Linked DNA regions of Oryctolagus cuniculus. The protein of the gene in region 2 interacts with the protein of the main gene of each other region in a pairwise test. Links are inferred from orthologs where the notes say so. Each region holds a gene or a part of one and is shown on either strand. Other genes may lie near its edges. The genes, in order: C7H1orf216, AMOT and PTPA.

Region 1 (4,435 bases), on a different chromosome or scaffold from region 2:
TGGTCTGCAAAGGGGAAGCAGAAGAGTCACACAGGACAGAGCCACAGCAGCCTGGCCACAGGGCAGCAGGCACACGCCTGGCAGCTCCTTGTCATCCCCTCCCCTTGGCTGGGCTCGCACTGCCCCTGCTGGTCCCCACCTCCCTCACTGCTCCTTTGCAGTAGCCTGCACAGCGTGTTTTTCAGCGCTCCGAGGCAGGCTGCCTTTTCGTTCTACACGCTTCTCCCCAGATGACCCGGCTGTGGGCTGCAGCTTTGGGAATCATCATATGCTGGTAACTCTCCAATCTGTCTCCAGCCCAGATCCAACTGTTACCCAGCCCTGCAGCCACCCACAGGCCCCTGGAAATCTCCCAGTCCCAGCCAGCTCCCATCTTCGTGTCCTCAGCAAGACGGCTCTGCTCCCTGTTCAGCCACCCCAGCCAGAGCCCGGAAGCATCCTGGAATAAGCATTTTCCTTCCGTCCCTCATCTCTTATCAATCACCAAATTCAGACAATTCTTCCTCTTCAATTTCGTTTGGCTCAGGCCATTTTTTACCTGGACTAGTGCCACAGCCTTTTCACTAATCTCTCTTCCTGTGGCTAAACATGTAAATTTGGGGGCTCAACGTGGTTGCACAGCAGGTGAAGCTGTTGTGGCAATGCTGGCATCCCATATCAGAAAGCTGGTTCAAGTCCCAGCTGCTCTACTTCCAATCCAGTTTCCTGTTAATGCATCTGGGAAGGCCGTGGAAGATGGCCCAAGTACTTGGGCCCCTACCACTCACATAGGGACCAGGATGGAGTTCCTGGCTCCAGGCTTCAGCTTGGCCCAGCCCTGGCTGTTGCAGCCATTTGGAGAGTGAACTAGTAGACAGAAGATTGGTATTTCTCTCTTCTCTCTGTCACTGACTTTTTTTTTTTTTTTTTTTTTTGGACAGGCAGAGTGGACAGTGAGAGAGAGAGACAGAGAGAAAGGTCTTCCTTTTGCCGTTGGTTCACCCTCCAATGGCCGCCACGGCCGGCGCACCGCACTGATCTGATGGCAGGAGCCAGGTGCTTCTCCTGGTCTTCCATGGGGTGCAGGGCCCAAGCACCTGGGCCATCCTCCACTGCACTCCCTGGCCACAGCAGAGAGCTGGCCTGGAAGAGGGGCAACCGGGACAGAATCCGGCGCCCCGACCGGGACTAGAACCCGGTGTGCCGGCACCGCAGGCAGAGGATTAGCCTAGTGAGCCGCGGCGCCGGCCATGTCACTGCCTTTCAAATAAATAAATGAATTTTTTAAAAAAGATTTATTTAATTATTTGAAAGGCAGAGTTAGAGAGAGAGAGAGAGAGAGACACCTTCCATCCGCTGGTTCACTCCCCAGATGGCTGCAATGGCCGGAGCTGTGGCAATCTGAAGCCAGGAGCCAGGAGCTTCTTCCAGGTCACCCATGAGGGTGCAGGGGCCCAAGGCCTTGGGCCATCTTCCACTGCTTTCCCAGGCCACAGCAGAGAGCTGGATTGGAAGTGGAGCAGCCGGGTCTCAAACCAGCGCCCATATGGGATGCTGGCACTGCAGGCGGTGGCTTTACCCGCTATGCCACAATGCCAGCCCCATAAATAAATGAATTTTAAAATGCAAATTTAAAAATTGAGTGAGTACTGTTCCTGAACTCCTCTTAAAGATCTACATGGCCTAATGGCCCTGAGCACCCGCACCCTGCCTCCCATCACATCCGACTGCTCCAGGAGCTCAAGATCCACTATTGTTGCGCTCCACTATGGCTCTGGCCTGCAGTGCCTGCCTCTCCCTTCCCCTCTAAGCTCCTCCCTCTCCACCCGGCAAATGCTCTGAGGCCTGCCTGAGAATCCCCCCTCCATCTGCCCCGCCCTTAATAAATGTAAACACAGTTCCTCATGCCTTCCTCCAGCTCCCCCCATCACGCTCCTGGAGCAAGCACTGAGGTGCCACGCCCGATGCGCCATCCCTCTTCCCCCACCACCTGCATCCTGGCCCTAGTTTGCCCCATCCGGAGTTCCAGGAGGGAGTGCAAAGGGCATCCCTCTTCCTAGCAGGGCTTCCACCAAAATCCCGGTCTGAACTGAGAAGAGGTTTCTCCCGACCACGACCACACACTTACTCCCAGGACAGGGAAACCGGAGGGTCACTAAGGGGTACAAGGTAAGGGCAGCAGGCCCCAGGGGGACCCCTAAGGTGGCACAGGCTCTTCCCACAGTTGGGAGAGGGCAGAAGGCCTGGAAGGATCCAGTGGGAACGATTCCCGCGGTGACCTGCGGACCCCCAGGCCTCCCACCAAAGTGTGCACTTAGGTGCCTGGAGCCTCCCCCGAGTCTTTTTCCTAAGCAGGCTGGAATGGGCTGGTGGTGGCGCTGAGGATCCTGGGTTCTCAGCGATAGTAAAATGGGGATCAGACCCCGGCCCCACCCCCAGTTAATCCGCAATTTGCCAGGGCCGGGAGCAGCGGCGGCCGCCCTTCCTTCCTGGCGCTGCCGGAGACGTCCCCCGGGGAATAGGGCAGAGGCCGTCCCCGCAGAGCTCCGCGGAGGGGCCGCTGGGCGCGGGCTGCAGCCCCCAGCCCCCGGCCCCCGCGGCGGGGCCCCCAGTCCTCCCCCTCGGCCCGGACTCACGGCCTGGAGGCGCCCGCTCCGGCGCAGCTGGCTCTGGTTCCGGCGCGCCCCGCTCGGCCTGGGGGTGTCTCGCCCGGGCTTTCCCGCGGCCCGGGCCCGGACTGCGGCTGCTGGCGGCGTCTGCGCGGCGGGGCGGGGTTGGGGCGGCCCACGTGGGCCGGTTCGGTTCTGCGTGGGAGCCTTGCGCGGGGCCCCTGCGCCGCAGCCGCCTCCCCCGCGCCGGCTGCTCAAGGCCAGGCCTTCCAGGTCTGGCTGTCGCCTAACGGCGCTCGCTGGGCCCCTCCTTCCTCGAGGCTGTGGCACGCACCGCAGCCTCTGCCTGAAATGTTGTCTCCTGGCTAGGCTTCCCCACATTTCAGATCTGAGAAACCTTCTGTGATCCCCGAGACAAGACTGGTCCCCCGCTTTGTATCATCTCAGAGCACTTATGTTCCTTTGATCAAAATCTGGAATTTTATATTAATTGTGTGCACATCTGATTCATCATTAATGAAAGCTACTTTAAAAAATTATTTAGGGGCCTCAGCGGCCATTTGGGGAGTGAACCAACGGAAGGAAGACCTTTCTGTCTCTCACTATCATTCTGTCAAATAAATTAAAAAAAAATTTAAAAAGTGCACGCCCCATATAAAAAATTATTTATGTATTTGAAAGGCAGAGTTCCAGAGAGGGAGAGAAGAGATCCAGCCCCCAAATGGCCGTGGCCACAATGGTGGAGCCAGGAGCCTGAAACTCTATTTGGGTCTGCCACTTGAGTGGCAGGGGTCCAAGCCCTTGGGACGTCCTTTGCTGCTTTCCCAGGTACATTAGCAGGGAGCCTGATTTGAAGTGGAGCAGCAGGGACTCCGCCAGCCTTCCTATGGATCTTGGCATTGCAGGCCTGGGCTTACCCCACTGCGCCACAAAGCCAGACTGAAGGCTACTTTTTTTTTTTTTTTTTTTTTTTTTTTTTAATATGCTGTGGCGTATTGGGTAAAGCCACCGCCTGCAATGCCGGCATCCCATATAGGTGTTGGTTCGAGTCTCCGCTGCTCCACTTCTGATCTAGCTCTCTGCTATGACCTGGGAAAGCAGTAGAAGATAGCCCAAGTCCTGGGCCCCTGTACCCACGTGGGAGACCCGGAGGAAGCTCCTGGCTCCTGGCTTCAGATCTGTGCAGCTCTGGCCATTGCAGCAACTTGGGGAATGAAGCAGGAATGAAAGACACACACACACTCTCTCTCTCTCTCTGCCTCTCCTTCTCTCTCTGTGTAACTCTAACTTTCAAATAAATAAATAAATCTTTAAAAAAAAAATAGAAAGAGTCCCCTGGGACAGAGCTCAGGTTGCAGAGAATTCCTGCTAGGCACAGACGCCCTCCGTGGCGCCTGCACAGTGGGTTCCTGTGCAGTTGCCCATGTGCACAGATGTAACTGGATAAGAAAGTCCTCGGTCCCAAGCTGGAGTAGCTTGTCAGAGTTCCACTCACTGACCCTGATCCCTGTCACTCCCTTCCTCCTTGTAGTACGTGTGTAGAGAGCTCAGTTTGCAATTAGAGAACAGAGTCATTTCTGACCCTATGAAGCATCCTCTTCCGGTTCCCACGTGATTCTGACTCACCATTCTACAACCTGGAGACCCGATGGCACATCGCACCACACCAACAAACCTACATGCAAAAGCAGGGGAACTGGAGAGAAAAAATTATGATCACAACAACTGCGATTTTAAAACAGAATAGGGGATAGAAGGCAAAAGTCAAAGTTTGGGTAACAGCTAAGAGAATATAGGTGGTGACTTCAGCCCCATTCATACCCAGGCCCTAAGGCCATGTCTCCTCC
Region 2 (2,597 bases):
CAACTGCTGCTGCTCTTACTGTTGCTGCTTCTCCAGCTGCTGCTGCTCAGATGCCAGCTGCTGCCTCTGCCACCACCGCCACTGCTGCTCCTGCTGCTGCTCTTGCTCCTGTTGCTGCTGTTGCTGCTGTTGCAGTTCAGGTTGCTCCAGCTGCTCCGGCTCCGGTTCTAGCTCCAGTTCCAGCCCCGGCTCTGGCCCCAGCAGTGGCTCAGGCTTCTGCTCCGACTCAGACTCAGGCACCAACTCCTGCTCCGACTGTGGCTCCTCCTGCATCTCCAGCTCCAGCTCCAGCTTTGGCTCAGGCTGAGGCTCCTGCAAGTCCAGCCACTGGTTCTGGATCACGTCGTTTGTCTATACCAAGTTTGACTTGCAATTCAGATAAGACAGGTAATAATTCTCTACAGCAGGGAGCTTTTGGTACGGCTCTCAAAACGCAGGTTGATTTGTGGGTACCTGCTGCTCAGGCAGAGATGGTCATCTGGACTGAGCCCTTCATGTTGTAATGGGGAGCCATTAGAGGAGGGGAGAGGGTCTACAGATGATTTCTCTTCCACTGAGACAGGAATGGGCATGAGTAGAAGCCATTTTCCCAGTAGAAGTAAATGGGGGTGAGGGGGTGGCACTCAAGGCTCAATTTACCCTTACCTCCACGAGGGCTCTAATGCTGTCTGTTTCTAGAAAATTGAGCTTTTTAAATATCCTTATAAGTATCTTCAACACCTTATTTTCATTCAGATGGCCCTGTTTTCCACTCCAATACTCTGGAAAGAAAAGCACCCCTTCAGATCCTGGGACAAGAGCCTGAAGCAGAGATGGTGGAATATCTCATCTAAATGACCTTATCAAGAGCTGGAGTTTATCAGAAACAATGCTTTTAATCATTTCCCCCTTTTGTTTGTTCTTATTTTTAGGGTGAGGATAAGGGTTGGGGGGTGGGTATGTTTTCTAAAGGGACTTTTTATTGGAACAATATAGTACTTAAGTAATACCATATGAACTTCAGTCTATTCTGGTATACTCCGAAAGTACCTCTAAAGACAGACTCATCAGAATGTGTTCTGAAGTCTGTTGTTTGCATTAGTACAAAACTGGGACTGTTACCAGGTGGATATACAGTGATGTTTTCAGTGTGCTTAAATTTGTTTAAAATTTCCCTCTTCCAGATTATTTTCTATTGAAGAGCACAGCATGTGTGAAAGACAGTGTATAACATGTAGTGCAGACATGGAAAGCCAGAGAGAGTTCATGTGTGTGCTGTTTTGTGCAGTTACCAACTGGATAGCAGCCAGAGAAAGCTCTCACCTCAGGCTCATGAAAGGGAATAGTTTTAAGAGCTTATGTAAGCTGGAGAACAGGTGGGGAGCACTGGGATACAGAAAGATGCTAGAGCTAATTTTCCCTCTCAGTTTCCCAGCTACCTTGCCCCAAGGGATTGTGTTGATCTTCATTTCAGTGGTGCTTTGGAAGTGGGTTCTTTTGGTTCCCTCCTGGAGGTTCATACATTCATATATATATATATATATATATGTGTGTGTGTGTATATATATATATATATTCTGAAGTAATTTATGCATTTGGATAATTAATATATTGCTTTCAGATGCTAGGAGAGTAAATTAACTGAGTGATATGCAACTTCCTCTCTCCTAGGGGAGTTAGGCATCCAAGGCCTCTATGGAGAGTTGCATGAGGTGCTGTGTGTAGATTGTTATAGCCATGAACACAGCTTGTCTGCCTTTTGTGAGAACAATCAGCTTAGTATTTATTTCTTCTATAGCATAGGTTCACTAGCTGGATTACTTACTAGTCCCAAATTGCCAATAGTTTGCAAAATGAGAGAGCGTTTTTGTTGACAAGTTGAACGCTTTAAATTTCTGGTGACTGTTTTGAAATAATTCATTCTGTTTTTCCAGTTTCTTAGTGTATTTGACTATCGCCTCCAAGGGAATAGCACTAGAAGGCCAAAGTACTATGGTGCAGACAGAGGAGAGGTGGATTGTGTGGTCTTCTCAGTTGCCTCTTCTCATTGCCAGGGATTCCTTGAAATAGCTTTGGGAAGCAGTGGGAAATGTGTATGTGGGCGGGGACCAAAGGAGGCAGTGGCTGCAAGCCTTGCCAGTCTGTCTCCAATGACACAGAGGGTGCTACTTGCCACAGGCCCCTGCCCTGTGTCACCTCTCTGCCCTTCATTAAGGGGACAAATCTGCAGACAGTGTCATTAAGTTCAGTTTTCAGGGGTATAGGAAGGGTGAAGGGGCATTGTTAGGTAAGGGTGGGGATAGAAGTTTTGGGATATATTAGAAACCAGATTAATAGAAGAATAGGCCTGATATATTGTATCATGAGCCATAGTGATGGGAAGGAACTTAAGCAACATAGCCCTTCCCTCTAATTTTAGTGATGAGAATCTGAGACTTAGAGAGGTTCGGTGACTTTTTCAAGATCACACAGCACTGCTGTCCACACTGCCAATTACCATGCTGATTTTGGGAAACCCTTATACACGGAAAAAGAGCCCATTTTAAGAAAAAGACATCTTCATGGTCCAAGGCATCTGTGTTTTGTAAAATGTCCTTGGCTTGAGTAGTTTGTCCAGG
Region 3 (4,361 bases), on a different chromosome or scaffold from region 2:
CACACACACACTGGAAGGACCCCCTTCATTTTAGGACCCTGGTAAGTATAAGCCCTCAACTCCTGATTCATAACCCCACGTCCAAGAAGCTCTGACGCCCAAAGTGTGTTCAGTGCGTCTGTCCCACGTTCACTCGGCACAGAGTGTGCTCAGCGCGTCTGTCCCACGTTCACTCGGCACAGAGTGTGTTCAGTGCGTCTGTCCCACGTTCACTCGGCACAGAGTGTGCTCAGCGCGTCTGTCCCACGTTCACTCGGCACAGAGTGTGTTCAGTGCGTCTGTCCCACGTTCACTCGGCACAGAGTGTGTTCAGTGCGTCTGTCCCACGTTCACTCGGCACAGAGTGTGTTCAGTGCGTCTGTCCCACGTTCACTCGGCACAGAGTGTGTTCAGTGCGTCTGTCCCACGTTCACTCGGCACAGAGTGTGTTCAGTGCGTCTGTCCCACGTTCACTCGGCACAGAGACTGAAGCACTGAGGAGCGCCGGCACCTCACTGTGCAGATGTGCGCACCTCTGGCTCGGGTAATCTCGTCTGTGCTGATGGGGTGCTGCTTTCTGAACCAGGAAAAGCCGAATCCCAGGGTGCAGCTGGGCCCACGGGTTCTGCACAGGGAGGACAGGGAGCTGTGGCCCGAGTCTGCAGCTGGCGAAGTGCACTTCCTGCGAAGACGCACGTCTGCAGGGGCGCACAGGGCCCCAGACACAGGTGCAGGAGTCTGCTCCACCACCCTCCTCCTCAAACCTAAATGACACCAACCACGGAAAAAAGAGACAGCAACCTAAGAAGGTTCTGGAATATGTGACACCTGGGGCTCCAGGGAGGCCATGAGGAAAGGAAAAACACTAGACGCGCTGGAGACCGATGGCGACCCCGTGCGGGAGAAGGGCCGGGCACGGGCACACCCGGGACACAGAGGAGACCCCGTGCGGGAGAAGGGCCGGGCACAGGCACACCCGGGACACAGAGCAGACCCCATGCGGGAGAAGGGCCGGGCACAGGCACACCCGGGACACAGAGGGGACCCCGTGCGGGACAAGGGCCGGGCACAGGCACACCCGGGACACCGAGGGGACCCCGTGCGGGAGAAGGGCCGGGCACAGGCACACCCGGGAGACCGAGGGGACCCCGTGCGGGAGAAGGGCAGGGCACAGGCACACCCGGGAGACCGAGGGGACCCCGTGCGGGAGAAGGGCAGGGCACAGGCACACCCGGGAGACCGAGGGGACCCCGTGCGGGAGAAGGGCAGGGCACAGGCACACCCGGGAGACCGAGGGGACCCCGTGCGGGAGAAGGGCAGGGCACAGGCACACCCGGGAGACCGAGGGGACCCCGTGCGGGAGAAGGGCAGGGCACAGGCACACCCGGGAGACCGAGGGGACCCCGTGCGGGAGAAGGGCAGGGCACAGGCACACCCGGGAGACCGAGGGGATCCCGTGCGGGAGAAGGGCCGGGCACAGGCACACCCGGGACACTGAGGGGACCCCGTGCGGGAGAAGTGCCGGGCACAGGCACACCCAGGACACAGAGGGGGCCCGTGCGGGAGAAGGGCCGGGCACAGGCACACCCGGGAGACCGAGGGGACCCCGTGTGGGAGAAGGGCAGGGCACCGGCACACCAGGGCCCCAGCAAGAGGGACCGGAAGCTCTCTCCCCGCCTCCTGGCCGGCAAACCTTGTTCCCAGAACCCAAATTAAGGCCCCTACTATTAGTAAATTGCTACTTCAGGCAGGATGCTACATAAAAAGCTTTGTAGGCCAGGCGGTAACCTGCACGATGCTGTTATGGGAAAACGCGCTCCACGTCCCCCGCACCCAGCTCCAAACGCTGCGGGGCAGAGGCCTCCGGTCTCGGCCGGCGTGAGAACGGCTCCTGTGGGCAAGGCCAGCAGCGTGGGGGGGCGGGGGGGACACGTCCAGGCCAGGCCCTCCGGGAGGCCCTGCACCGACCAACGCCTCAGATGCCTCAATGCACACTCCCGGGGCAGGAACCTGTGTCCTTCCAGGACGGCCTGGAAGTCACTCAGACGGAGACCCGAGCTGCAGACACGCTCCCCAAGCCCCCGGGGACTCGGACCGCGACCCATCGCCGAGCCCCCACCGCGGCAGAGCCGGGTCCAGGAGAATCTGTTCTCTCTCGTTCCGGGCAGTGCGGGGCCCTGGGGGCCTCCCGCCCGCGCTGCACCTGCACGGGGGGCTCGGCCCAAGGCAGCCGCGACCCCAGCCTGCAGAGCCCGCACAGCCCAGACCCGGGTCTGTCTATCGCTCTCCTCCTGGGGAGCTGGGGGGCGCCTCGCCCTCCGGAGGCCTCTCGCAGCGCCCAGGGAATGCCAGGCCGGGCAGGGGTCGCGGGCCGCCCACCTCCCTCTCCCGCACGAGGCCGGGGTCCCCTAAGGCCAGCCCGCCGGCCGAGGCCCCAGTGCAAACACAGCTCAGAGGCCCTGATGCCCGCGGCGAGTCTCTGTCTTGCTCAACCCGCCTTCCTATAAACGAGAGGTTTGCACACCCGGGGCAGTTTCTCTCCATAAACCCCAGAGCCCGGCCCCGGGCCTGGGGGCGGAGGGCAGCGACCGGCCCCGGCCCCAGCGGCGCTCATAAACCGGGCAGCCGCCGGGCTCCGGCTAACTCCTCCGCCGGGGCAGGCGCGCCGAAGGCCCCCGCACCCGCCGCCCCCGAGCCCCGCCGCCCGGCCGGCGCCCCCGAGCCCCGCGCCCCCGAGCCCCTCCCGGCTGCGCCCCACACCACGGCCCTACCTGGCGGCGGCTGCCGCTCGCCCTCAGCCATCTTCCGCGGAGCCGGCGCGGCGCCCGCAGTCCCCTCTCGGCGTTCACCCCGCACCCGCTCTTCAGGTCCCCGGCTCTGCCACGGGCTCCGAGTTTTCCGGAGAGCAACGAGCGCCGGTCTGCTATCACCGAAAACCGAGAATTAAAGTCACCCCCGCCGAGACGACCGCCATGCTGGTGCCGGGCGCTCAGCGAGCATGCCCAGCAACGGCCGGCTCGCGACGGCCGCGGCGACGACGGGCGGCCGCCATGTCAGTGCGGGGCGCCTGCGGAGCATGCGCACTGAGGGGCCGCCATGTCAGTGCGGGGCGCCCGGGAGCATGCGCACTGCGCCCCAACTGCCGGGCCGCTGCTCGACCGCTAATGGCCCGCCCGGCAGCCGTACTTTCGCGGGTGTCAAGTTTTTGTGGAGGGGTTAAGGGGGGTGCAGCAGCCATGTTTCTGGGAGCCGGTCCCGGCTGTCATCTTAATCTAAAGAATGTCAGAGGACATTCCCGTCACCCTGTGTCTTCCTGCCGCCTATGAGGGCGCACAGCTTCAATGGCATTTGGAGGCGGGGGGAAGAGCTGAACCCTGACCTCGCCTTACCCCTCTGCCTCAGCCCCAGCGCTCCACGGTGTCGCACAACCGCTAGCTGCGCGCCGCTCGCCTCCCCGCCCGCCGTGGCCCCGCCCCGCAGTGGCCCCACCCTAGCCCGCTGTTGGCCCCGCCCCTCCTGCCGTGGCCCCGCCCCGGGCTCGCTATTGGCCCCTCCCCGCAGTGGCCCTGCCCCGAGCCCGCTGTTGGCCCCGCCCTGGGCTCGCTATTGGCCCCTCCCCAAGGTGGCCCCGCCCCGGGCCCGCTGTTGGCCCCGCCCCCGCCTGCCGTGGCCCCGCCCCGGGCTCGCGGCTAGCCGCCCGGGGCTCCGTGACCAAGGCCCCGCCCCGGTGTCCTCCCCGGGCCGTCCGCCCGCCGCCCGACCGGCCCGGTGGGTGGGCGCGGGGCCGCCTCTACCGGCTGGTGGCGGTGACTCGGCGACCTTGGCCCTGAAGCTCTAGCGGGGACCCACCGGCCGCAGCAGCCAAGCGGACTTTGCCCGGTTTGGTGGGCGGAGCGGCCTGCGCGTCCGCGGGCAGACAGCAAAGATGTTAGCCTTTGCCGCCAGGACCATGGTGAGTGCGGACGGAGTCCGGGCGGGAGGGCCCCGGCCGGGCCGGCTGCGCCACTGCGCCGGTCGGGGCGCGGGCCTGGGAGCGGCGCGGCCGGGGGCTCTGGCTGGGGCGGGGCCTGCAGGGGGATCCCCCCCAACCCCGGTGTGGCAGAGGAGGGGGTGGAGGCGCAAGGTCAGGGCCGGATCGAACTCGCGTCCCGCGGCGCGCAGTTCCAGCGACCCGGAAAAGACAGCGAGGACGCGGGCCTCCGCACGCACCCCTAGACCGAGCGGGAGGTGGAGACGCGCGGCTTGAACCGGCACTGCCTCTCCCTGTTTTTCTGAGTCCCATGCCCGTGGTGGCCGACACTTAAACGCTCTCCTCGGGTTTACCAGACGGCCACCGGGGCTGCCAGGGCAGCTCGCGTGGAGGCAGCCAACTGGGCAGCTCA

What was found.
Region 1: the proteins of AMOT (region 2) and C7H1orf216 interact in binary tests that used the Homo sapiens proteins (3 or more experiments, as listed by UniProt). The two-hybrid records come from large-scale screens. The link is inferred for Oryctolagus cuniculus from reciprocal best matches to the Homo sapiens genes AMOT and C1orf216.
Region 3: the proteins of AMOT (region 2) and PTPA interact in binary tests that used the Homo sapiens proteins (3 or more experiments, as listed by UniProt). The two-hybrid records come from large-scale screens. The link is inferred for Oryctolagus cuniculus from reciprocal best matches to the Homo sapiens genes AMOT and PTPA.

What each region holds. Positions count from the first base shown.
Region 1 is NC_091438.1:136,912,719-136,917,153, reverse strand, and holds the start of C7H1orf216 (UPF0500 protein C1orf216 homolog), read right to left. Parts: upstream 2,867-4,435; 5' UTR 2,616-2,866; intron 5-2,615; 5' UTR 1-4.
Region 2 is NC_091453.1:80,576,949-80,579,545, forward strand, and holds part of AMOT (angiomotin), read left to right. Parts: coding exon 1-387; intron 388-735; coding exon 736-833; 3' UTR 834-2,597.
Region 3 is NC_091432.1:232,229,134-232,233,494, reverse strand, and holds the start of PTPA (serine/threonine-protein phosphatase 2A activator), read right to left. Parts: upstream 2,868-4,361; 5' UTR 2,782-2,867; coding exon 2,751-2,781; intron 1-2,750. Other genes in the region: CRAT (carnitine O-acetyltransferase), read left to right, coding at 3,905-3,931. UniProt on the Homo sapiens protein: PPIases accelerate the folding of proteins. It catalyzes the cis-trans isomerization of proline imidic peptide bonds in oligopeptides. Acts as a regulatory subunit for serine/threonine-protein phosphatase 2A (PP2A).